Linked DNA regions of Astyanax mexicanus. The protein of the gene in region 2 binds, or shares a complex with, the protein of the main gene of each other region. Links are inferred from orthologs where the notes say so. Each region holds a gene or a part of one and is shown on either strand. Other genes may lie near its edges.

Region 1 (4,226 bases), on a different chromosome or scaffold from region 2:
TAAAGATGAATAAAATTGGGCCTAATGTTTCTTTCTTGACTGTGCTCAGTTTAGTTATGTTCAAACACATGAAATGGAGTAAGTTTACAAGGGTTATTCTTTACTGCTATAAGTCTTCTAGATAGAAGGTGCTATCTGTGCTACTGTGTTGATGTCATTTAGATCAACATAAGTAGAAATAGAATAGAATATAATAATAAGCACATATTTTAAAGTCATATTTGTTATTCTGACAAAATAACCAAAATTGTTAGTTCTTTTTTTTCCATTTGCTGTGTTGATAAATCAGGACATGGAATTGCACAGTGTCTCTTATTAGGGACATTCCAGGATTTTGGTACATTTCCTGTCCCACCACTTAAATTTCAAATGTACATACCCAAAATTTTTGGTGTAAAATGTACTTGTTATAAGTGTCGCCGTTCCCATTCATTCAATGAAAATGAAGCCAAAATCTTCCGCCATGTTGGCGATCCTGACACCCGATTCTGCGCAGTAGAGACCAGAGGAGGGAGAAAGACTGTGGAGAGACAGCCTGCTCATTTAAATAACCCCGCCCCTGAGGGCTGCCTCGCGGTCACAGGCTGTAGAGCGGAGCAGAGCTGACGGTCTGTTATTGGCCCCGCCCATAGCCAGCCCTTTTACAATAACCACACCTTCTTGAATAGAGCTGAATAACGTTTTAAAAAATGAATTCTGTGGGGATATAAAAATTTGACAATATAAGCAGAGGTTACACTAGCTGCTGCATTTAAATAATGGAGGTAGAATTACATGGGGATGGGTGGTGTTACACAGCTTTCTGAAACCAAACAGCAGGGGCGCTCGACCTGTGGTGGCTTCACTTTTGAGAGACGATGCTCTGTCCAGCTATACACAGTCTATGGGCAAGATCAAGAGTAAGTGCTCTAACAATTTTCAAGCTTTTTTTTTTCCAAATATGTTTGTCCAAGTTGTGTGTGAACGCAACCCTGTTACTCATATTGTAAGACTAATAATGAGTAGAGTCAAATTTTTCTTTATATACTTATATAACCATGTTTGTCCTTGATCTTGTATACATAGCTACATTTTACAGTTAGCATCTGTTCCTGGGGTAAACCACAAGATTTGCAACCCTGTTACTCGCAACCCTGTTACTGTAAGTTACCAAATATATTGCATAATCTCATTTAAAAACTGCTTTGATACCTGAGCTTGACGAATCTAACTTTTTGATAGTGTCACGTCTCTAGGCTCTCCTTTCACACTCCCGAACTCCATTTCCCATGAACCCATTGGTGATGACGTCACTGTCAGCCGCTCACCTTCATCCAATCGCATTACACTCCCCCGTTCAGAGTCACCTGTGTTCTAAGTTGTTCCGGTTCATAGTAATTCTAGGTTTTGTATATATAGGGTTCTGTTAGCTGATGTTCTTTGCGAGGTATTGTCGACTCATGTTGCGTACTGAGCATTTTTCCAAACATTTTTCTGTCTGCCCTTTTGTTATGACCCTTTTTCCTGTATTACAGATTTTGCCTTTTGTCTTTGCCCTTATCGGATTTGTTGTATTATCAGACTGTCTCTCTGGCTTCGGATCTTGGACTGTTCTCACAACTACGTCTCCTGTGAGTTCTGTTCGATCTGTTATCTGGCTGTATCTGGCATCACCCCTATCTGTCTGGTGTTACAGATAGTCTTTTACCTGTATTTAATTTAATAAATATATGACTAAAATTGATCAAATTGAAGATCAATTTTTCAGAAGTGACCACCCCTGAAATGTACCAAAATCCTGGAATGTCCCACTAATAATTATGTGATGATTGCTGTTGTCAAATGTGTTTGTTTATACATTCCTGCGGTAACACTTTATAATACTGTTCCATAGTTAATAGGTAACTAAGCAGGAACTAAGCAGTAACTAGTTAATAGTGCTGCATTAACATCTAAATATTTTCTATTAACTACCAGGGAGTACTGAATAATTACTCAGTAGATAGTACTGAACTAATGATTATAGTAGTTCACTATTAACTCCACAATAATTACTGAGACTTACATATCTCCTGGAGAACTACTTACTAATTATGTCTCCTTTATAATAACTATTCATTAATTACTGCTCAAATCAACATTAACTATAGAAAACTATAGATCTAAATCAGGCATATTTGAGTTAAATGCATATTAATTGAAGGCATATTTGAATTAAGCAAGTGACACCATTTGTAGTAGTGGTAACCTTAATTACCTTATTATCCTCAGTTCCTTCCAAATATTAGCAACATATAGTAAAATACTACTTTGTGTATTACTCTGCTTAACCATCATTTTTGGAAGAAAAAAACAACATTATAACGTGATATTATTGCATAGAAGACATTGATGAAAGTTCTCCAGAAGGCATCTAAGACTCTAAGAATGACTGTAAGACTGTAATAATGTAACAATCATTGCTTTAATACTAGGTTTCAGCCTTATAAAAGTGTATCTTCAGCGTTTGCAGTCTCACAGAGATTTATTTAACTGCGCACTATTAGGGTAATTACGGTAATTTCACAGCAGACGCAGCTCTCCAGGTCCTTCGTGTAACGGTGAATTTACACTGCTCCGACGCGAAAACGCACATGGTCGCACTACCCCCCTCCAACCGGTCGCATGTGGGCGTGACAAAGGCTTTCCCTGCGTCGTCCAATTAAATCGTTTTAATAAATGGGAAATGCATTTTATATAAGATATTATTATTTCCAATACTTAATAAATATAAATGTGTCTTTATAGATATAAATGTTTGAATGAGCTTCATTACACTGTCTAGTGAGCAGTATATAAGCTGAAAAAAGCAAACTTTTCCAATTAAATTACATATTAATATTTTAAAAACCCACCAGAGACTCCAACAATCACAGCAGCCTTTCTCCTCGCTGACAGAGTCCCTGTGAATCAGCAGGGATTTTATAAAGAACAGGGAAGCCTGAAACTTCTCTTCCAGGCTTCTCTGGACGCTTGAAAGCGGAACTAAAATGTTTTCATGCGCTGCGCTGAGGACGCGTTACAGGCCAACACCTGCTCTCTGATTGGATAGACGCATTGCGTTGGACGGACTCATTTGCATAAAGTTCAGCTCGGCTCAACTTTTCATCGCATCGCATCCCCCGCTCTCGACGCGTCGGACCCATGATGCACCGCGCGACTGCGTCTGACGGAGGCGGCGCTTCCCATTGAAAATGAATGGGATCCGTCGCTGTGCGTTGTCGCGTCGGAGCAGTGTAAATTCACCGTAAATTCTCTGCTGTGCTGCTGCTGCTGCTGCTGCTGCTGGAGGAGGATTAAGAGAAACTCTGCTGCTTTCATATTTCTGTATTTGATTGAAAATAAACTAGTAATCAAGATATTGAGATCTTTTCCAGCTGATTTTACCCCCGGATCAGAGGAGGACTCTTTGTGGGTTGTTAACCAGCTTTAGGATATGTGTTAGCTAGCTAAGTTAGCTAAGTTGTGTGTGTAGTTAGCGTTAGCCAGCTAAGTTAGCTAGGTTATGTGTGTGTTAGTTAACTGGCTAAGTTAACTAGGTTATGTGTGTGTTAGTTAACTGGCTAAGTTAACTAGGTTATGTTTGTGTTAGTTAACTGTCTAAGTTAGCTAGGTTATATGTGTGTTAGTTAACTGGCTAAGTTAACTAGGTTATGTGTGTGTTAGTTAACTGGCTAAGTTAACTAGGTTATGTGTGTGTTAGTTAACTGGCTAAGTTAACTAGGTTATGTGTGTGTTAGTTAACTGGTTAAGTTAGCTAGGTTATGTGTGTGTTAGTTAACTGGCTAAGTTAACTAGGTTATGTGTGTGTTAGTTAACTGGTTAAGTTAACTAGGTTATGTGTGTATTAGTTAGCTAGTTTAAATGTGTGTTAGTTAGCTAGGTTATGTGTGTTCGTTTGCTAGCTAAGTTAACTTTTATGTGTGGGTTAGTTAGCTAGGTTATATGTGTGTTAGCAAGTTAAATGCGTGTGTGTTAGTTAGCTAGGTTATATGTGTGTTAGTTAGCTAGGTTATATGTGTGTATTAGTTAGCTAGTTTAAATGTGTGTTAGTTAGCTAGGTTATGTGTGTTCGTTTGCTAGCTAAGTTAACTTTTATGTGTGGGTTAGTTAGCTAGGTTATATGTGTGTTAGCAAGTTAAATGCGTGTGTGTTAGTTAACTAGGTTATATGTGTGTTAGTTAACTGGCTAAGTTAACTAGGTTATG
Region 2 (4,226 bases):
TTTTGGATATAATCCAATAGAAAAAACAGTTTATTAAGCTGTTGTAGAAGTGGCAGAAAATGTTTTCCCTTTAAAATGTATTTTAAAAGTGGAAAACAATTTACCTATTTTTTTCAACAGTGGCAAATTCAGTTGTAAAAAGTAGAAATCCACGCTTGTATTTTATTTCTGAATCAGAATTTTCCTAAAGCAATACACAGAAAACCCACAATTAGTTTGAACTTAAACAAATTAGGTCTGTTTTATGTAAAATTGGATATTTCAAACATCATTCAACTATTTTAAATTAGGTTTTGTGGGCACATATATGTTTAAATGGAGATTTTGAGACAGAGCTGAATCTTAGAGTTGAAGTTTAGTCTGTTGCCACTGGCAGCTTTTTTTATTGGCTTTTGGCACAATCTATTTGCATACTGGGTTTGTCCCCCAAATTCTGACACTCACCATCAGTGCATAGCGATTCCCCCCAAGCTACCTTAGGTAACTTTGTGTGGGCTGTGTGCTATATTCTTCATCTTATTTTCTACGAGTATTTCAAGTCTGTATTCTATTTAAATGAAATCAAAAATAATACTAAATACAAATCAGTTTTTATTGCCCTAACCATAACATTAAAGTAAAATAATTATTATTCAAAGCAATTGATAAAATATTAATAAAAAAAATTATGTTCCTACAATTTAGGCATAACAACTAAATTCTATATTATAAAAGTGGTCTATTCTAACAAAAAATTAAAACATCTATCTAAATTTCTAGAGCAGTGTAATAACCTATAGAGACCTAGCTTTACATTGTGGTCTTAAACATAGCATATAAATAAATATACAGCTCTGAAAAAATAAGAAACCAATTAAAAATGATGAGTTTCTTTGATTTTACCAAATTGAAAATAATATTTAATATAATCAAAAGGACAAGAGGATAACCAGGGTTATTCCACTTAATGTTGATATCTGAACTCGTATAACTTTATGAATATGAACTTGTTTTCTTTGCATTATTTGAGGTCTGAAAGCTCTGCATGTTTTTCTGTTATTTCAGCCATTTTTCCTTTTCTGCAAATAAATGCTCTAAATGACAATATTTTTTAATTAGGAATTTGCTATATATATATATATATATATATATATATATATATATATATATATATATATATATATAGCTAAATCAGAGAAACTGATTCAGAAACTGAAGTGGTCTCTCATTTTTTCCATGATAATGTATCAACAGTGGCATATCCAAGTCAAAAAGTACACATTTACCACAGTAATTTATTTCTGCATATAAATTACCTTATATAGGCAGTAGATAAACTCTATAGGCTTCAAATAAACAAATATGACATATTCAGGTCAAAAAAAGTAAAAATCCAGCACAGGATTTTATTTCTGAATCTATATTTGAATCTAAATTATCGTAAAGCAGTAGATACGCTGTAGTTACAGGCCTAAGGTGTGTGGCCTCAAATAAACAAATTAGGAAAATTCAGTTCAAAAAGTAAAAGTCCACTCCGGTATTTCGTTTCAGCTGACTGGGCGGACCGGCTGCAGCGGAGACAGTGAGCAGCCCGGGCGGTTGGAAGGAAAACCTGCGGTGGATTTTTACTGTATTGACCTGAATTTGCCATATTTGAACTGTCACCTCTGCAAATAACCAAAAATCAGGGAAACTTTGTGAGACATACGTGACTAAATTAGATTTTTTAAATATATTTTTCAGCAGTAATTAAGTTTCAGCTCAGTAAGGAGCAGACTATTAGCCTGAAGTTGTTATTTTGGGACAGCAGCGCCGTTGCAGTTCCGTTAAATCTGGCAGAGAAAAGTTTCTGAGACTTCGCCATGACAGTTCTGTCTGCAGCAGAAGAGCCTGAAACAGGGCTGCGTTCAGTTACTGCTTGCTGTCAGTCAGCGAGTGAGCTAAATAACTATTTATCCCAGCTAACTATTAGTCTGTATTCTTCTCAAACTTCTCGCCGACGCGCAGCTCAGGTAAGAAGGCTGGGCTAGCAAGCCTAGATACCCGTCTACAGCCAGCCAGCCGCCCGCTCGCAGCTAGCGCTATATTACCTATACACCAGAAGTACCCAGCTTGTTAGCAGCATGCTAGCAGGTTAGCCAGCTAGCCCCGTCTGTACAGTTATCTAAGCTATGCCACAGCGAGCCCTAACAGCCCCCGAGACCTCTCCACAGCCCCAAACCTGACCCCTATTCCAACTAACCAGTATTTATTCACATTTTTAAGGTAAACAGTATAAGACTCGGTTACCTTACAGGCGACACAAATCGATATTTTGGACCTACAGCATTATTTCGCCTTCAAAATATGACTGCCATTAGTGGATCCCCTCCCCCTCTGTGTTTTTTTCGCTGACATCTTCAAGTTAAGCGAAGGCTCGTTTTTGATTGGTCGATACGAGCCGAAATATTACCCGCTTTGCAGCCTGATTGGTCGAGGCGGACGTCAATCAAGCGGTCCTGTATTTTTGTGGCGGGGCTTAGTGATCACTTTCACTATGCTGCGCCGAACGTGCTGGAACCGTGGCGCTACTGGAGTGTGTGTGTGTGTGAGGGTGTGAGGGTGTGTGAGGGTGGGAGTGGGAGTGCTGTTGAACTTGAACTTGACTCATTATAAATGCTAAAATATAAAAAAGTCCTCATACATATACAAAATAATCCTCATATGCGTATTATTTTGTATTTTAGCTTTTATAGTCAAATTCAAGTATATATATATACCACTTAAAAATTATGAATTTCTTTGATTTTACCTAATTGAAAACCTCTGGAATATAATAAAGAGGAAGATGGATGATCACAAGCCATCAAACCAAGCTGAACATAAGCTGTCATAAAGTTTTCCAAAAGCAGTGTGTAAGACTGGTGGAGGAGAACATGCCAAGATGCATGAAAACTGTGATTAAAAGATATCTAGAGTGTGTGTGTGTGGAAATGAGGAAATAGTCCAGTAGGTAACAGAATAACTATGAGTAAGTGCAGGTAAGGAATGAGTTGATTGGGGAGTACAAGGGGCAGAATGCTGTATAATATATATATATATATATATATATATATATATATATATATATATATATATATACGTGTATATATATATATATATATATATATATATACGTATATATATATACGTATATATATATATATATATACGTATATATATATACGTATATATATATATATATATATATATATATATATATATATATATATATATATATATATATACACGTATATATATATACGTATATATATATATATATATATATATATATATATATATATATATATATATATATATATATAGTGTGTAATATAATATATAATATGGGAAGTCTGATAGATGCAGTGTAAAGTTTATGAACATAAACTTGTTTTCTTTGCATCATTTAAGGTCTGAAAGCTCTGCATCTTGTTTGTTATTTCATCCATTTCTCATTTTCTGCAAATAAATGCTGTAAATGACAATATTTTTATTTGGAATTTGGGAGAAATATTGTCCGTAGTTTATAGAATCAAACAACAATGTTCATTTTACTCAAACATATACCTATAAATAGCAAAATCAGAGAAACTGATTCAGAAACTGAAGTGGTCTCGTGAATTTTTTCAGATCTGTATGTCCCACACTAATTAACTAATTAAAGCAAGAGGCCTGAAGTTAAAGTCAGTCAGTGAGCTGACTCTTATAAATGCGCTGAGCTGCAGTAGCGCGTCTCAGCCGCACGGGGGAGACAGAGACCTACACATCTGTACAGCAATACAGCTGCTGCTGCTGTGAACTGATGGCCTGTTTATGTATGTTGTAAGATGCTGATATGGTCAGTTATGGAAATCCAGTTTTTATAATGCTGTTTAAATGTGCAAAATGATATAAATCAAGCACGAATAAGAAAAAGCCAAAATAGCTTAATTTACAAATCTAAATTTGTTGAAAAAAAAAATCAGATGACAACATATAGGACTTTATGAATACAGCAATATTACTCAAGAAAACCAGTAACTAGTGATAATGATATGTTAAAAATAGCCCTAAATATATAAATAAATAAATGAATAGACTTGCTGTTAGTTCAAATACATGCTTAGTGCCTGTTTGCTGATCTGACATATTTTCCCAGTACTCTCATCAAGTGTTTACCAACATATCTTTCCAAAACATACAGTAATTTGCCTGGCAATGTGAGAGAGTGTGTGTGTGAGAGAGAG
Region 3 (4,226 bases), on a different chromosome or scaffold from region 2:
TGGCAGATCAACATGGTTTACTTAAGAAATATATTTCTTTAAGATTCAACCTAAATTAAAATCAGTGTAATCATTAATTAAAAGGTAAACAGCCTGGAATTAGTATTTTAAAATGAACCCAAGAGCAGTTTACTAAATTAAATGGTGTAGGCTGTTAAAACTCATGAGGAACCTGAGGGGATCTAAGGATAGTTTTATATGTTGTTTAACCCACAGGCACCTCACATGATATTTTACACTTTTTATAGGGAGCCATGTGGTTCAGTGATTAATAATAAATCATTTTAGTGAATTATATTTTCTGCAGTCCAGTGTAATACTGGATACATTCTGCAGACAACAACAGAAATCATGATACTGCTATGTGGTGTATTTAACTTCACACTGCAGAAACATACACATTTTCATTTATACCAATATATAAATATGCAGTTAGGTATGTATTATTTAACAAAGTTATTCTAATTATGTGTAACTCCCCCTAAGTTCTATTTTAGGGTTTTCCTGTCTTTTATTCAGAGTTTATGCAGTTTCAGTGCATTTATTTATATAAATCCTATACGTTTTTAATGCCACTTAACCCATGGCTTAGTTGCTTACTTTTTCAACATTACTTAATTATTACACACATTAGTACACACATTTTATTTGATCAAGTTTTAAATAGAGTATCATGCAGTTCAGTGATTAACAGTTACTGAATTACTTTTCAACTTTTGCAAATATGAATATATTTGTATGATACTCCCACTGTGTGCAGGTTAACGCTAGTTTATCTCACTTGAGTCCACTGAGGTTTCACTCAGCCAAAATAATATAACACTATATAAAGATATACCACTATACTAATATAACACTTTATAAAAAATACTTTTTGGCTGTTTTTCAGCCTGTAAAAAAATGTCATTGATCAGAGCAGGACTAATATCAGACCTGAGAACATTCCCCACGTCCTCCTACAACTTTAAACACCAACACTGTACACACACAGCCCTGGAAGAAAATAAGGGACCACTGAAAAAGGATGAATTTCTTTGATTTTATCAAATTGATAACCTGGAATATAATCAAGAGAAAGATAGATGATCACAAGCCATCAAACCAAGCTGAACTGCTTGATTTTTTGCATCAGGAGTGGCATAAAGTTATCCAAAAGCAGTGTGTAAGACTGGTGGAGGAGAACATGCCAAGATGCATAAAAATGTCATTAAAAACCAGGGTTGTTCCAGCTAATATTGATTTCTGAACTCTTAAAACGTTATAAATATGAACTTGTTTCCTTTGCATTATTTAAGATCTGAAAGCTCTGCATCTTTTTTGTTGTTTCGGCCATTTCTCATTTTTTGCAAATAAATGCTCTAAATGACAATATTTTTTTTGGAATTTGGGAGAAATGCTGTCCGCAGTTTATAGAATAAAACAACAATGTTCATTTTACTCAAACATAAATCTATAAATAGCAAAATCAGAGAAACTGATTCAGAAACTGAAGTGCAATCTTATTTTTTTCCAGAGCTGTATAGAGCGACCAGTAAACGAGCTCCCGGTCACCTCTGTTACTACATCTCACTTATTCTACACCCGCTGATGAGGAACGGCGGCCGGGCTGTGAGACAGGACCAGTAACTAGTTAACTACAGTCACAGCGCTGCTGTAATGAAGAAGAAGAAGAAGTGCAGAAACACGCAGGTAAGAAATCCTGGAACTTACAATCAACCCCCTGTCTAACCGACCTGCACATCACCATGCAGCACATAAGCACACTCACACTCACACGAAGACTGAAACTAGTGCTGGGCAGCAGCGCGCAGACTGCTCACATCTCACAGACCCTCAAATCAAACATCAGCTCCGAATCTGCGGGATAAAAACCCGCTCCTTCAGCAGCAGCTCAATAACCGGGCTCTGTAACTGCGATACACACGCCCCCGCCGAAACACACACACACACATATTTACAAAACCACAACACATACATAAATGTATATATCCATTTTACTACTTACGCTTTTAGTGGATTCTGAATGACAGTCGCCATTTTGCCACACTGTAACCCAATATTCAAAATCTCAGACTTCTTTGGGACCCTTATGAAAAAAAAACAACCAATACGGACCTCAGTGTCCAGCAGTTTGGCCAATACAATAAAGGGATTTAAGACGTGGGCGTGGCTTAGGGAAGCTGTCAAAACCCTAACAAAAACCCATACATCTTTACGTTCCAGATACGTGATATTTTTATACACGCTTTATTTTTTAACGCCTTTTAGCTCGTTTTGATCAGATATCCCGATATTTTTACAGAAATATAGTTAGAGAAGTGCAGTGTCTGCTGGTATATAGTCATATATTTATGCATATGTTGCACGGTATATATGCTGAATGTTCATATTTTTCATGCATGTTTGCCTTTTTATTTTAAAAAAGGTTTTCATTACCGCATCAATTTATTTAACATTAAGTTAGTTAACCTATAGTCTTTACTCTCTGTCCACGACAGGTAAATTACAACATATAAAAGCGCTCCGTGTTATTGTCCCTCTCGTCCCGTTCAATGCTGTGATTGACATCGCACAAAACCAATCGTATGATGGAATGATACATATTTTGGTGAACCAACCAATTAACGCTAAGTAGGCGGGACGTTCGCTGAGCCACACGAGGAAACGGCGTTGTCCACCGCAGGCAGGACGATAATAACTGGAGATAATACGCTCCTAACTAAAATACAAACGTTTAAAAAACGATAAAATACATTTTGTATTTTATTACTTACGTCCGAGTGAGAGTCGCCATCCTGCCACGCTGTAGCCCAGTATTCAAAATCTCAGACGTCTTTGGGACCCTTATGAAAAAGAATCAGCAGATACGCCCAATACAATAAAATAATTTAAGATAGGGGCGTGGCTTAAATATGTCAAAACTGTAACAAAAGCACATACATTTATATAGCTATATTATATGTGTTCGTATAAATATAATGTAAAATATACTTAAATTGATTAGATGTTTTTTGTTTGTTTCACAGAAATGTGATAAAATGTATCATGATATGGTCAAGCATGTTATTTTGTATTAATCTAATTATGTATCCCTTAATTTGACTGCTTTAAGTTAGCCTGTTCACTTATCATTTTATTTTTAATAATTTTTATTTAAATCTTATTTTTTTTAAATGCCATATTTTTTATTGATTTGTTTATCAGTCCCTGCATTAAAAATGCATTAAAAAGAGGGTTTCCCTAATTTTTTTTTTCCGTGTGAAAGCTGACTGAGTGGGTGATTGATATGCAAGATAGATTAAAACACAAACAAACAAAAAAAAAAGATTTAATTAAAACAAACTAAAATAATTTACAATAAAGTGAACAGACTACCTTAAAACTGTCAACTTAAGAGATAAATAATTAGATTAATAAAAAATAACATTTGATTGAACTTATCAGCAGACACTTCATTACATATTTTTAAAACAAACAAAAATAATTAAATCAATTTAAGAATATATTAAATTCTCTCTCTAGATATATATATATATATATTTTTTTTTTTTTTTTCATGTTTTTTTGGTGCATACATGATATCTCTTATATTAACTTATCCATCAACTCATTTCATATTTTTTTGGAAAATAAACGACTTAATCTTTTGTTTTTTACCAACGGTCTGTGGCCCTTTTACACCGTCCTCTGCTGTGATTGACATCTCAGATATCCAATCCCGTGATTAAATTATACATATTTTTGGTGAAACAACCAATAAGCGCTTAGTAGGCGGGGTGTTCGCTGAGCCACACGAGGAAACGCCGCTGTCCGAGGCAGGAAGTACAATACCCGTGTGTGTTTGTTTATGTGAGCGGGTGAAGAAGTTGTTTGGTGGAAAACAGTCACACTCGGGAATAAAACAGCGAGTTAAAGAGTTAAAGTGAGGCTTAAAGTGTGCGGAATCTGTGGAACCAAGCTAAAAAACATGGGCTGCCACGTGTACTACCACTAGCTACGTGGTAGTCGTTTAGGTGCTAGCAGGCTAGCTGACTGACTAGCTAACCTATCTATCCTATTCAATGTAGCTAACTAAGTTCGCTAATGCTCAGACGTGCCTTATCCATGTTTCTTCATGGTCAGCGGGCTGGACGTGTGAGCTTGTAGCTGTTCTTACCTCAGTGCCTCTCATTACATATGAATACGAGAAATGGGGAGACGAAATTGGCGAGGAAGGGGAAAACACC

What was found.
Region 1: smarca2 (region 2) and phf10 share a complex: the UniProt entries of both Homo sapiens proteins name them as parts of the neural progenitors-specific chromatin remodeling complex. The link is inferred for Astyanax mexicanus from reciprocal best matches to the Homo sapiens genes SMARCA2 and PHF10.
Region 3: smarca2 (region 2) and dpf3 share a complex: the UniProt entries of both Homo sapiens proteins name them as parts of the BAF complex. The link is inferred for Astyanax mexicanus from reciprocal best matches to the Homo sapiens genes SMARCA2 and DPF3.

What each region holds. Positions count from the first base shown.
Region 1 is NC_064414.1:17,701,189-17,705,414, reverse strand, and holds the start of phf10 (PHD finger protein 10), read right to left. Parts: upstream 2,703-4,226; 5' UTR 2,615-2,702; coding exon 2,579-2,614; intron 1-2,578. UniProt on the Homo sapiens protein: Involved in transcription activity regulation by chromatin remodeling. Belongs to the neural progenitors-specific chromatin remodeling complex (npBAF complex) and is required for the proliferation of neural progenitors.
Region 2 is NC_064429.1:18,435,301-18,439,526, forward strand, and holds the start of smarca2 (probable global transcription activator SNF2L2), read right to left. Parts: upstream 2,395-4,226; 5' UTR 2,304-2,394; exon of another isoform or gene 2,269-2,303; intron 1-2,268. UniProt on the Homo sapiens protein: ATPase involved in transcriptional activation and repression of select genes by chromatin remodeling (alteration of DNA-nucleosome topology).
Region 3 is NC_064408.1:78,431,558-78,435,783, reverse strand, and holds the start of dpf3 (zinc finger protein DPF3), read right to left. Parts: upstream 2,869-4,226; 5' UTR 2,795-2,868; coding exon 2,775-2,794; intron 2,087-2,774; coding exon 2,006-2,086; intron 1-2,005. Other genes in the region: wdr21 (WD repeat domain 21), read left to right, coding at 4,190-4,226. UniProt on the Homo sapiens protein: Belongs to the neuron-specific chromatin remodeling complex (nBAF complex).